Rattus norvegicus: one gene and its partner. The protein of the gene in region 2 interacts with the protein of the main gene of each other region in a pairwise test. Links are inferred from orthologs where the notes say so. Each region holds a gene or a part of one and is shown on either strand. Other genes may lie near its edges.

Evidence for each region. The genes of interacting proteins can lie anywhere in the genome.
Region 1: the proteins of Grb7 (region 2) and Lax1 interact in binary tests that used the Homo sapiens proteins (3 or more experiments, as listed by UniProt). The two-hybrid records come from large-scale screens. The link is inferred for Rattus norvegicus from reciprocal best matches to the Homo sapiens genes GRB7 and LAX1.

The regions. Positions count from the first base shown.
Region 1 is NC_086031.1:47,693,645-47,699,779, forward strand, and holds the start of Lax1 (lymphocyte transmembrane adapter 1), read right to left. Parts: upstream 3,753-6,135; 5' UTR 3,502-3,752; intron 2,663-3,501; 5' UTR 2,565-2,662; coding exon 2,479-2,564; intron 1-2,478. UniProt on the Homo sapiens protein: Negatively regulates TCR (T-cell antigen receptor)-mediated signaling in T-cells and BCR (B-cell antigen receptor)-mediated signaling in B-cells.
Region 2 is NC_086028.1:83,945,130-83,950,406, forward strand, and holds the end of Grb7 (growth factor receptor-bound protein 7), read left to right. Parts: coding exon 1-82; intron 83-219; coding exon 220-297; intron 298-516; coding exon 517-666; intron 667-2,024; coding exon 2,025-2,135; intron 2,136-2,335; coding exon 2,336-2,434; intron 2,435-2,636; coding exon 2,637-2,717; intron 2,718-2,811; coding exon 2,812-2,928; intron 2,929-3,062; coding exon 3,063-3,123; intron 3,124-3,239; coding exon 3,240-3,327; intron 3,328-3,430; coding exon 3,431-3,524; intron 3,525-3,697; coding exon 3,698-3,844; 3' UTR 3,845-4,208; downstream 4,209-5,277. UniProt on the Homo sapiens protein: Adapter protein that interacts with the cytoplasmic domain of numerous receptor kinases and modulates down-stream signaling. Promotes activation of down-stream protein kinases, including STAT3, AKT1, MAPK1 and/or MAPK3. Promotes activation of HRAS.

The sequences.
Region 1 (6,135 bases), on a different chromosome or scaffold from region 2:
TACACCGGGCAATACCTGGAAAGATGTTTGTCCTTCTGAGTTCTGGGCTTACTGATCCAACTTCTATTGGCCATTTCTCTTAGGTTGTCCAACAGATATCTCAAGCCTAAACTGGGCTCCTATACCTAGTCTTTATATACTAGCTTTCCCTCTAGACTTCCCGTCATCTAGTGGTACAATCTAAATCCTTGGCATCACTCCTGACTGACTGCTTTTTCATGCCCTACTTCCAATTAATCGGCTTTGACCTGGGCAAGGGCATCCACTTTAAATCCAGTCACCTCATGTTCTTCCACTGCTACCACCCTGGGATAAGCCAAGATGAGTTCCAAGTTGACTTGCAGTGGTCCCCTCCCTGGGAGCCCTCCTGGCTTTCACTCTTGACTTCAACATATCATGTACACCGTGAGCTAGTACGATCACTGTACAGAGTAAGTCATACTGGGTCCCTCTTCCACTTAGAATGGCTTCCCACCATGCTGACAGTGAATCTTCAGTCTGTACTCAGCAGGGATTTTTTTGACATAATGTGATCTGTCTTCTCCTGACTAACATCCGGGCTCATTTCAAACCCCCTTACCCCTGATGCTGACCACCGGGACCTCTTGCTGTTCCTGCCCAATCCGTACGAAGAAAAGTTCTATCTCGGATCTGCATAGCTGAGCCCCTCGTTCCATTTAAGTCTCAAGTGTCTTCACCTCCTTCGAGAGATCCTCCCCGATTGCACCCGCCATTCACAGCTTTCTTACTTCTATTTCTTCTTCAAAGCATTTACGGCTGATTGATAGTATACATGTTTGCCATCAAACACTGCCACTGACTGAGCCTCAAGGAGTCACGGACATCTCAAGCAGCATGGTAGGAGCGTCATGAATATTTGTTCAATGATAAGTGAATGAAATAATAAATGAACAAACACGGAAATAGTTTCGAGAATAACACAGTCATTGTGGGAAATAACTCATGGCAATTATCCCCAAAAATTAAAAATAGAATCACCATATGCTCTGTTCATCCCACTACTAGATCTATATTCAAAGCAAATGAAACTGTGTGCCTGTATTCCTGTGTTTATTAGAGACATTTGTACTGTCATATTCTTTTGCAGCAAAACTCACAATAGCCAAGATACAGAATTAACCCGAGTGTCTATCAATAGATAAACGGAGAGAGAGAGAATGTAGAATACATATGCAAAGGATATCATTCAGCTTCAGAAGGGAAGAAGATCTTGTCATTTGTGACAAGGTGGGTGGGCCCGGAGGACATAGTGTTAAGTGAAAGAAGCCAGGAATAGATAGATCCTGCCTCATCTCACTTATATGCAGACTCTAAAAGGATTGAACTCATAGAAACAAGAGAGTAGACTAGAGGTCAGCAGGGGTGGGAAAGGAAGGTTTCCAGAGTCAAAGGTTAGGTAGAAGGAAGTTCAACATGGCCATGTTGAAAATAATGTATTCTTGAACATTGCTTAAGGTGTTGTTTGAAGGTTATGTCAAGTAATACATATGGAATTCAGCCATCTACAACACGTATGCATTGCAAAACTATAGGCTAAACATAATACATAAGTACAGATTTTATTTACTGATTATAAAGTGCAAAGGAGACAGAAAGCAACAACAAAGCATATATCAGCTTAAAAAATAGTTTTTAGTGTTCAGTAAGAGGGTTCAGTGGGTAAAGGCACCTTCAGCCAAGCCTGACACTCTTAAGTTTGATCCCTGAGACCCACATGGTGAAAGAGAGACAACTGATTTCTGCAAATTGCTCTCTGACCTCTACCCTTCCACCCCCCACAAAAAAAATGTACTAAAAAGGGAACTCATTGAAGATGGTGCTTAAAGCTTCAATGATGGATAGGAACTTAGTCCTCTGTACCTGTGTTTCACCTGCACACGATACTGATTAACTCTAGTAATAACACTGACATTTCCTAAAACGACAGCAATTTAAAAACAAAATACACTTTCGTTGCGTTTTTACTTTGAAGGGAGCACTGGAATTTACACCTATTAATATTCCTAAAATCTTGGCACCCGATTGATGGACGCTTTACTTTTGTGTATTTGAGAGTGAAAACCTCAGGAGTGAGTTTACATTCATGACTACCTCTATAAGGCCCTAAAACTTTATGACATCTGTTATTACACTTCTCACTCATGATAAGGGCTTCAGGATCTAAAAACTTATTGCTGGAGATTAGGACAAGAGGTTAGAAAGCCCAAGCATAGAGGTCAGGGCCTCTGAGAGGAAGAAAATCCAATCAGAAATTCATCTTTCAGTCAGTCCCCCTGCCCTGAGCCCCAGTATCTCCTTTCTTACTTCCCAGCATCCCTCAGCATGGTTTGCTCTCGGTTTGGTTTGCTTGTCCTAGTGAGCCCAGGCTTGGGATGTAAGTGTGGCATCATTTCCAGGCTAGACAATTCCTGTGCTAGATCAGGGGACCTTGGAGTTCACTTTCCCAGAGCAACTCACCCTTCCAGGCTGCCAAGAGTCCCCTGCTGAGTGCTTGGCTCTGAGCTCCTTCTTGTGATCTCTGGAGGGGCTGGGGTGGTGTACATCACTGGACCTCTGAGGGGCTTTGCAGTTTCTAAGTCTTCTCAGTGTTGTGACTGACTAGCCAGTATGACTTCCACTTTTCTTAGCTCTTTCTAAGTTGCTGATTCGTAGGGAAAAAAGGCAAATTGGTATGCATTTTGCATATAATCACCTTTTTTTAAAAAAGTAGATAATAGAATGACAGAAAAATTTCCAAATCCCCATGTTTTCCAAAATGTATCATTTTGTATTCTTGAAATTTCTTATTTATTTAGATAGGGTCTAATGTATCTCAGACAACCTGGGACTTGCAATATAGCCATTCATTAGAGTTTCATGTATCTCAGAGTAGTCTGAAACCTTTACGTACCCGATATATATACATATACACACACATATATAATACACATATAATAATAATAATTTTGTGTGTGTGTGTGTGTGTGTGTGTGTGTGTGTGTGTGTGTGACCTTGAACTTCTGATCCTCTGCTCCTTTAGTACTGGGATTTACAGGTGTGCGCCCCAACCATACTTATGTATGTGGTCCTGGGGCAGGAACTCCAGGGCTTTTCGAACCTGGTGCAACAGAGACAGACGTTCCCCAGCCATTCTTCCTAGATCATATTCACCAAAGTTCTCTCACACAAAACCAGTTTTTAATTTTTATTTCTTTCTGAAGATTCTAATCTTCTGTTCTAGAACTTTTTCCCAGCTAACTACCTTCCTTGGGTTGGTTCGCTGGCTCTGCAGGCAGAGATGCTTACTGCCAGTTTAATGACCCAGGTTTACCGCCTGCATGGCAGAAGGGGAGAACTAGTTCCCTCAAGTTATCTTCTGAGACACACACACACACACACACACACACACACACACACACACACACACACACAGAGAGAATATAAATGACTGTACTTCTACTAACAACAACACAACAACAATAAGACCCAACCTTCCCTTACCTTGACCTGAGATTCCGGACTGAGTTGGTACAAGATTCAAAAGCATCAGATCTGGTTTACTGGGGGTGGCCCCAATGCCCACTGCAGGAGAAGTGCTCTTTCTCATCCAGCTCTTGGTGCTCCCAGTGTGACGTCGTGGGGCCACGCTCTAGTTTTCTGCCAGTTGATGGAAACATGAGGGACCAGTGGGGGTGGGGAGACTGCCAAGTGGCCCAGAGGATTCGTGAGAAACTCGTCTTCCTCCAACCCCCAGGGCAGTGTGAAAACAGCAAAGCACCGTGCAGAATGGAAAGAGTGGCTGACAGGAAGCACCCTCCACCGGTGTGCTAATAAGGCACAGGGCACAGGAAATGCTCAGCTTACACAGACGGCAGGAAACCCACCTTCAGCCCTCCTGTTCCCCACAGGCATGCTGGCATCTGGGGCCTATGTGGTTATGAAGTCACAGACTTGACTGTTTGCCCTGGTTTTCTAAGTGTTAAAAGCTTCCAGGGTCAACATGTGAAGGTTTAAAGCAATTTGTTTGAGGAGCAATTGCCATTGGTTTATTTTTACTTAATAATTCTTTTCACATCTATTTCATGTGTCTGCACACTTGCCATGGCACATGAGTGGGGGTCAGAGAACACTTGGGGGGGGGGTGGCTGAGAGTGTCGTTCTGTTGGTCTCAAGAATCAAACTCAGGTGTCAGACCGAGGCAGTGTTTTCATCCAATGAGCCATCTTGCTGACTCTGGCTTTTTTGTTTTGGTTTTTGTCTTTTGAGGCATATCTTCCTTCACAGGCCAAGTTGTCTGAACTCATGGTACCCTCCTGTCTTAGTGTCCCTGGTGCGGTGCTGACAGGTGTGAGTCAGGCTCGGGGTTCAGATGGTTCTTACCCCTGCTCCCACCCCAAGACAGGGTTTCCCTACACACCCGTGGTTGTTCTGTAGGTCGATACATAGACCAGGCTGGCGGGCCTTGGGCTCACAGAGATCCTCCAGCCTCTGTCTCCTAAGTGCTGGGATTTAAAAAAAAAGCATACCACCGACGCCTGGCCTTAGACTGGCTCTAAGCAGGTCTAAACATCTCGAGAGTCGGCTGTTTAGAGATATGCAGCTCTGGTACCTGCTTGTGGTTCAGAGGGAGGATCGGCTTTATAAATAGCTCATCTGCAGGCGATGGTGCCAGAGGTGACCTGAGTTTCACACTCCGAGAACCTCTGTTCCGGTGTCGTGGTGGGAATGGAACGGAGTCTGGGTTAACAGGGCCACTGTTTCTTCCTCAGGGCTTCTGGCAAGGGGCTATGTGTTGCTGGCCTGGCTCTTCTGTAGCCCCATCCCAATCCCGGGTAGCCTCCCATTTCAGATGCTGGTGGGTTCCTCCCCAACTTGGGAGAATGTTCTGAGTTTGTTTCTAAACCCTCTTCCCTTTCACTTCACACGTGTCCAGAGACCCCCCCCCCCCCCCCGTGAGTCAGACAGAACCACTAAGAGTGAGTAGAGCATGCCGGAAGCCTCTCCCACGACACTTGCCACACCAGGTAGAACTCCAGGTAGATGAAAGGGATGGCTTCAGTGCCTTTGTCACTCTGCCTCTCAGGGAACCTCTTTCAGGCACACACTGGAGTCCTTGGCTTCCAGAGCCCAGACACACCCTACCTGTCTGCCTCTCTCAGGGCCCAGGGTACTGTGCAGGAAACCCTGCCATGCCGTCTCTGACCACCTTCCCTCTGGGGAGCTTGCTTAACTAGAGACACGGTTTGGTGGTAGGTCTCTGCCTACTTTTCCTTGGGATCAAGTCTGAATGAAAACTAGGATTCCTCTAACCTGGGTAGTGCTGGCTTTAATTGCAGCATTCGTGAGGCAGAGGCAAGTGGATTTCTGAATTCAAGGCCAGATTGGTCTACAGAGTGAGTTCCAGGACAGCCAGGACTACACAGAGAAAAACTGTCTCAGAAAACATAACAACAAACCAACCTAGGATTCCTCACTGGATTCCTCGCACTAGAGACTGGTGGACAGGCTGCCCGTGTGAGCTTGAGTGGGACCTCGAGGGAAGCCAGGTGAGGATGATCTCTGACCCCTGCATGAGGGTAAACAATCTTTCTGTGTGTGATCATCTCCTTTGTTTGTCCAGCCTTGTTTGTCCAGCCCGCTAGCTGCAGCCAGAGCAGCCTTCCCTCCTAGGGTCCCATCCAATGTTTTGTTTGAGCAAAACCACCTCAAGAGGGATTCTCTCCCCAGGCTGCTGGCTCCACACCCCTTTACTGTACTGTTCAACTTTCCTTCCACAAGTCAAATCTGGCAAAGAGATTAAGATAAGAAGGTGGGGAGTACTTTCTGAGAAACAAGGCGCATGCTTTAAACCGGATTCTTCTAGTGTCCCTTGAAACCTTTCAAAATCATTTTAGGAGCCCCGTGTGAGGTAAACTAGTAGGGCTGGTTTTATTTTTGCTTATTTTCCTTAGTTAGGGTCTCACTGACCTTGAACTCTCCATCCTTCTGCCTTAGAATTCCAAGTGCTGGGATTATAGGCATAAGCTGCCGTACTAGGTCTGGATTGGTTTGAAACGGACTCAACATATGTATATCGGTGAGCAAAGTCTCCTGCTGGAGGTGGAGGGCTGCAGGCTACGTCATCAGTGCTGGCAA
Region 2 (5,277 bases):
GGAGGCCTGGCCTGTGGGTGGAGACAGCCGCTTCATCTTCCGTAAAAACTTCGCCAAGTATGAACTCTTCAAGAGCCCTCCGGTGAGTGTGTGCGAGGGAAGCTGGACACACACACACACACACACACACACACACACACTGACATACACACACACACACTCTGGAGGACCCCCAGCCTGGGTTCTTGAGCTCTGATTCCTCATTTCTCTCTCCCCCAGCACACCCTGTTCCCAGAAAAGATGGTTTCCAGCTGTCTGGATACACCAACAGGCATATCCCATGAAGACCTCATCCAGGTGAGGTCTTCACCAATGTCTCCCTCCCGCTTCACCATACGTCCACAATCCCTCTAAGAGTCATCCAGAGTTTCACCCCCTGCCACCAGGCCATGTGTCCCCTCTCCCACCACGGTGACCTTGCCTGTGAATTTGTGACAGTCATTACCGGGCACAGCACCTCCTCCTGAGGCCTGAGAGGAGGCTGGCCTTTCATGCTCTGCTCACATCTATCCTCAGAACTTCCTGAATGCTGGCAGCTTCCCTGAGATCCAGGGCTTCCTGCAGCTTCGGGGATCAGGCCGGGGGTCAGGTCGAAAGCTTTGGAAACGATTCTTCTGCTTCCTGCGTCGGTCTGGCCTCTATTACTCGACCAAGGGCACCTCTAAGGTGAGGTTGTGAGGGGTCAGCTCTAGCCTGTCACGTACTTTTTCCTCACTGATCCTCTTAGACCTTTCCACTCTCAGACCAGGGGGACCCTCAGCTGCTCTTCCCTCCCCTTGGACTGGCTGTTTCCAGGCCCTGCCCGAACCTTTCTACCTCAACCCATTTGAGTCACCTACCCCAGGAGTGGCAGTAGAAAAGACAGGCCACTTGAATCAGCCTCTGCTTGTGTGTGTGTGTATGTTTCTGTCTTTGTGTGTGTCTGTCTGTATGTGTGTCTGTGTGTATGTCTCTGTGTGTGGGTATGTTTGTGTATGTATGTGTGTATATCTATGTGTGTATGTCTGTGTGTGTCCCTCTATGTATGACTGTATGTCTATATCTCTGTGTACCTGTGCCTATGTGTGTCTTTGTGTGTCTGTGTGTGCCTTCGTATATGTGCTTGTGTATGTCCATCTGTGTGTAACTGTATGTCTGTCTCTGTATACCTGTGCTTCTATATGTGTGTCTCTGTGTGTCTGTGTGTGCCTCTGTGTCTGTATGTGTATCTGTGTGTGTCTGTATGTCTGTGTCTCTGTGTGCCTGTGCCTATGTGTGTATATCTCTGTATGTGTGTGTACCTCTGTGTGTATGCCTGTGCGTGTCTCTCCTTCTGTGGATGTTTGTGTGTGTGTGTGTGTGTGTGTGTGTGTGTATGTCTGTGTGTGTCTATGTCTATGTCTCTGTGTGCCTGTGCCTATGTGTGTATATCTCTGTATGTGTGTGTACCTCTGTGTGTATGCCTGTGTGTGTCTCTCCTTCTGTGGATGTTTGTGTGTGTGTGTGTGTGTGTGTGTGTGTGTGTGTGTGTCTGTGTGTGTCTATGTCTATGTCTCTGTGTGCCTGTGCCTATGTGTGTATATCTCTGTATGTGTGTGTACCTCTGTGTGTATGCCTGTGCGTGTCTATCCTCGTGTGTCTGTGTGTGTCTGTGTGTATCTGTGTGTATGTCTGTGTGTGCATCAATGTCAGCGGTCTGCCTCAGGCAGATCTCCTTAGGAACTGTATCTTGATTTTAAAGACAGGGTCCCTACTGGGACCTAGGACTCGTGGATTAGGTTAGACCGCCTGGCCAGAGAGCCCTGAGAACTCTCTTGTTCCTCACACTGGGATTAGATGTACAATATTACTTCTGGCTCTTAAGGTGGGTGGGTGCTTGGGGAGGGGGACTCTTTACCAACTGAGTCACCTCCTCGGCACTGTTTGCTGTGTGACCATGGATAGTTCCCTGCCTCTCCCTGGTCCTAAAATCTCCCTACCTGGTGGGACACCAACATGGAGATAGGATCTCCCTGTACCAAGACCTACTGTCTCATGCTGCCTAGGACCCGAGACACCTACAGTACGTGGCAGATATAAATGAGTCCAATGTGTATGTGGTGACCCAGGGCCGCAAGCTGTATGGGATACCCACCGACTTCGGCTTTTGTGTCAAGGTGAGGGCTGCAGCCTGGGCTGGACTCGGGGAGGTGGGAGCTGCCTAAGTTTGAGTCCTATCTATGGCTTTTGAATGTCACGTTGAGGAGCCCAGCCTCATCTCCCTGTACTTGCACTTTTGGACAGGGCTTGGGTCCTCCCCTGCCCTAGGGCATCTGAGTACAGAATCATATAGGGGACAGTCCACTTCTCTCCCCAGCCCAACAAGCTTCGAAATGGCCACAAGGGGCTCCACATCTTCTGCAGCGAGGATGAGCAGAGTCGGACTTGCTGGCTGTCCGCCTTCCGGCTCTTCAAGGTGAGATCCCTGGAATGGCTATGGGGCTGGCCGTGCCTGGTAGAAATGACATGGCTCTGCCTTCAGAGGTCTTCCCAGTGAGGAGGTCATCACAGCCCAGATATTTCAGAATACCCATCAGGAAGGGCAGACTCAGTCCTGCTCTGTCACAACATTTCCTAGGCTCTCATAACCTCAGACCCTCTTTCCCCCCTGCCTCCAGTACGGGGTACAGCTATATAAGAATTATCAGCAGGCCCAGTCTCGTCACCTGCGCTTATCGTATTTGGGGTCTCCACCCTTGGTGAGTATACTATCCCGGGGTACGGGAGAAGTGGGCATGCAGGTTCAGGGCAGCTCTTCTGACCCCTTCTCTCCTCATTCTGTTCTCTCTCCAGAGGAGTGTCTCAGATAATACCCTGGTGGCCATGGACTTCTCTGGCCATGCTGGGCGTGTCATTGAGAACCCCCAGGAAGCTCTGAGTGCTGCCACGGAGGAAGCCCAGGCCTGGAGGGTAAGGCCTTCACACACCTATGCATCTGCTGTACTGGCTCCCAATGGGCGTTCGTGGAGGGAGGGAGGAAGGAAAAGGGCTTGGGGATCCAGTGAATGCCAAGGGCTCCTTGACTTCCATGTCCTCCATTGCAGAAGAAGACAAACCACCGTCTCAGCCTGCCCACCCCGTGCTCCGGCCTGAGCCTCAGTGCAGGTGGGCGATGGTCTAAAATCCCTTGGGTGGGCTACATTGCTACTCTGAGCAGTCCTGGCTGGGGTGGGGTGGTTCCCTTGCCTGAATGATCAGCATCTCTTCCCCCCTGACCCTAGCTATCCATCGCACCCAGCCCTGGTTTCATGGACGAATCTCCCGGGAGGAGAGCCAGCGGCTAATTGGACAGCAGGGCCTGGTGGATGGGTAAGGGGCTGGGCTGGGCTGGGTAACAGACCTGGGGGCCGGAAAGTCCCTAGAGCAGTTGTAACCAGGAACCCCTGATAATGCTACTTTGTTTCCCCCACAGTGTATTCCTGGTCCGGGAGAGCCAGCGGAACCCACAGGGCTTCGTTCTGTCTCTGTGCCATCTGCAGAAAGTCAAACATTATCTCATCTTGCCAGTGAGTAACTCCCCTACCCCTGAGCTAGGTTCTTGTAGCCCGGAGATATGAGACTTGAAGCCCCACTACGCACCTCCTTTCTCCCTGTACAAGAAACGGGGGTCGATTGCTAGCCCCACGGCTGCTCCTCTGCCCGGGACCACTGTCTGACCTGCCTTCTGGCCACACCACAGAGCGAAGATGAAGGCTGCCTTTACTTCAGCATGGATGACGGCCAGACCCGTTTCACAGACCTGCTGCAGCTGGTGGAATTCCACCAGCTGAACCGAGGCATCCTGCCCTGCTTGCTGCGCCACTGCTGTGCCCGTGTGGCCCTCTGAGGCCACACAAGCTGTTACAGCCATGGGGCTGCTTATCGCCCTTCTGCTCCGTTCAGTGGACTCGGTGCAGATGGGTGGGATGATAAACAGATGAAGAGCTCCCCCCACTTTTCTCCCACTTTTTTTTTTACCTCCCTCAGGTAATGAAACATCCCCCAGCCCTGTTCATCCCTGACTCCTGTCCCCAAAGGAGGCATTGTGGTCCTCTCCCCTTGGTAGAGCTCCTGAGGCAGTGAAGGGCATTATGAGAGGAGTAGGGGCAGCCCGGGTGGTCTCATGCCCCACCCACACTCTGTACAGACTGAGAGGCCAGTTGATCTGCTCTGTTTTATACCAGTGATAATAAAGATTATTTTTTGATACACCCACGAGTTCTGTCTGGCAAGAACTGACAAGAGAACCAGCAGAGGGAAAGGCCTTGGTCAACTGGAATATGCCCTAAAGACAAAAAGGCTGTTAGCCGCCGGAGAGCTTTCAAACCCTACCAGGTACCTGGTGCAGCCCAAGTGGTCAGTCAGTGCCTGTTAAATGGACAAATGGACAACAAGGGGTGGTGCTTTTCTTTCATTCTTTAGAAGAGAAAATCATAATTATGTCTATGACTGTGGGTTTGTATGTGCATGGGCACATGCAGTTGCTCAAGGAGGCCAGAAGGGGGCACCGGGTCCCTCCGAGCTGCAGTTAGAGCCAGCTGTGTGCTAATGTAGATGGTGGTAACCAAACTCGGGTCTTCTTCAAGAGTAGGCCGTGCCTTTGACCACTGATCCAGCTCTTCCACCCCAAGGGACTGGGCTTTTCTGACAGAGCCTAGATCTAACCAAGCCTGGGAACTGTGATGCATGACTAGAATCTCAGCACTCAACTGCAGAAAAACAACTGCAGGAAATTCAGGGCTAGCCCGGGTTATATGAGACCCTGTCTCAGGACCTCCCTTTTCTCCACAAACCAAGATGAGTTAGCAGCAAGTCTTGGACTAGTTAGTGGACAGTGAGTTCTGACGAATGCCACGGGGAAGGGAGAGAAGTCTCACTTTCCTCACTCCGGTTTTCTACCAACCTTTTCTCCCTCTCTGCAGTCCCCAGATCTGCTTTCTGTCCCTACAGCCTCCCTCACTCAGAAAGCCTGGCAGGGAAGGGAGATGCAGCCCTAAGTCTCTAATCTCCAGCCCGTCTTTCAGCTTCCAGAGTGAGTTGAGACCGTGCAAGCCTGCCCACTGCTCAGTTAGGCTGCATTTCCCCAGAGTTCCATGCCTTCATCTAACCCAACGGCAGCCTTATAATAAGTACATCCAACGACACCCACACCCTCTGCCCGGTTGTGGAGACACATCTTTTAGACTAAGCAGATTTTATTTTGGAAAAAAAAATCAAATTTTGACTTTTTTTTTTTAAAGATTTATTTATTTATTTTAGGCATATGAGTACACTGTCACT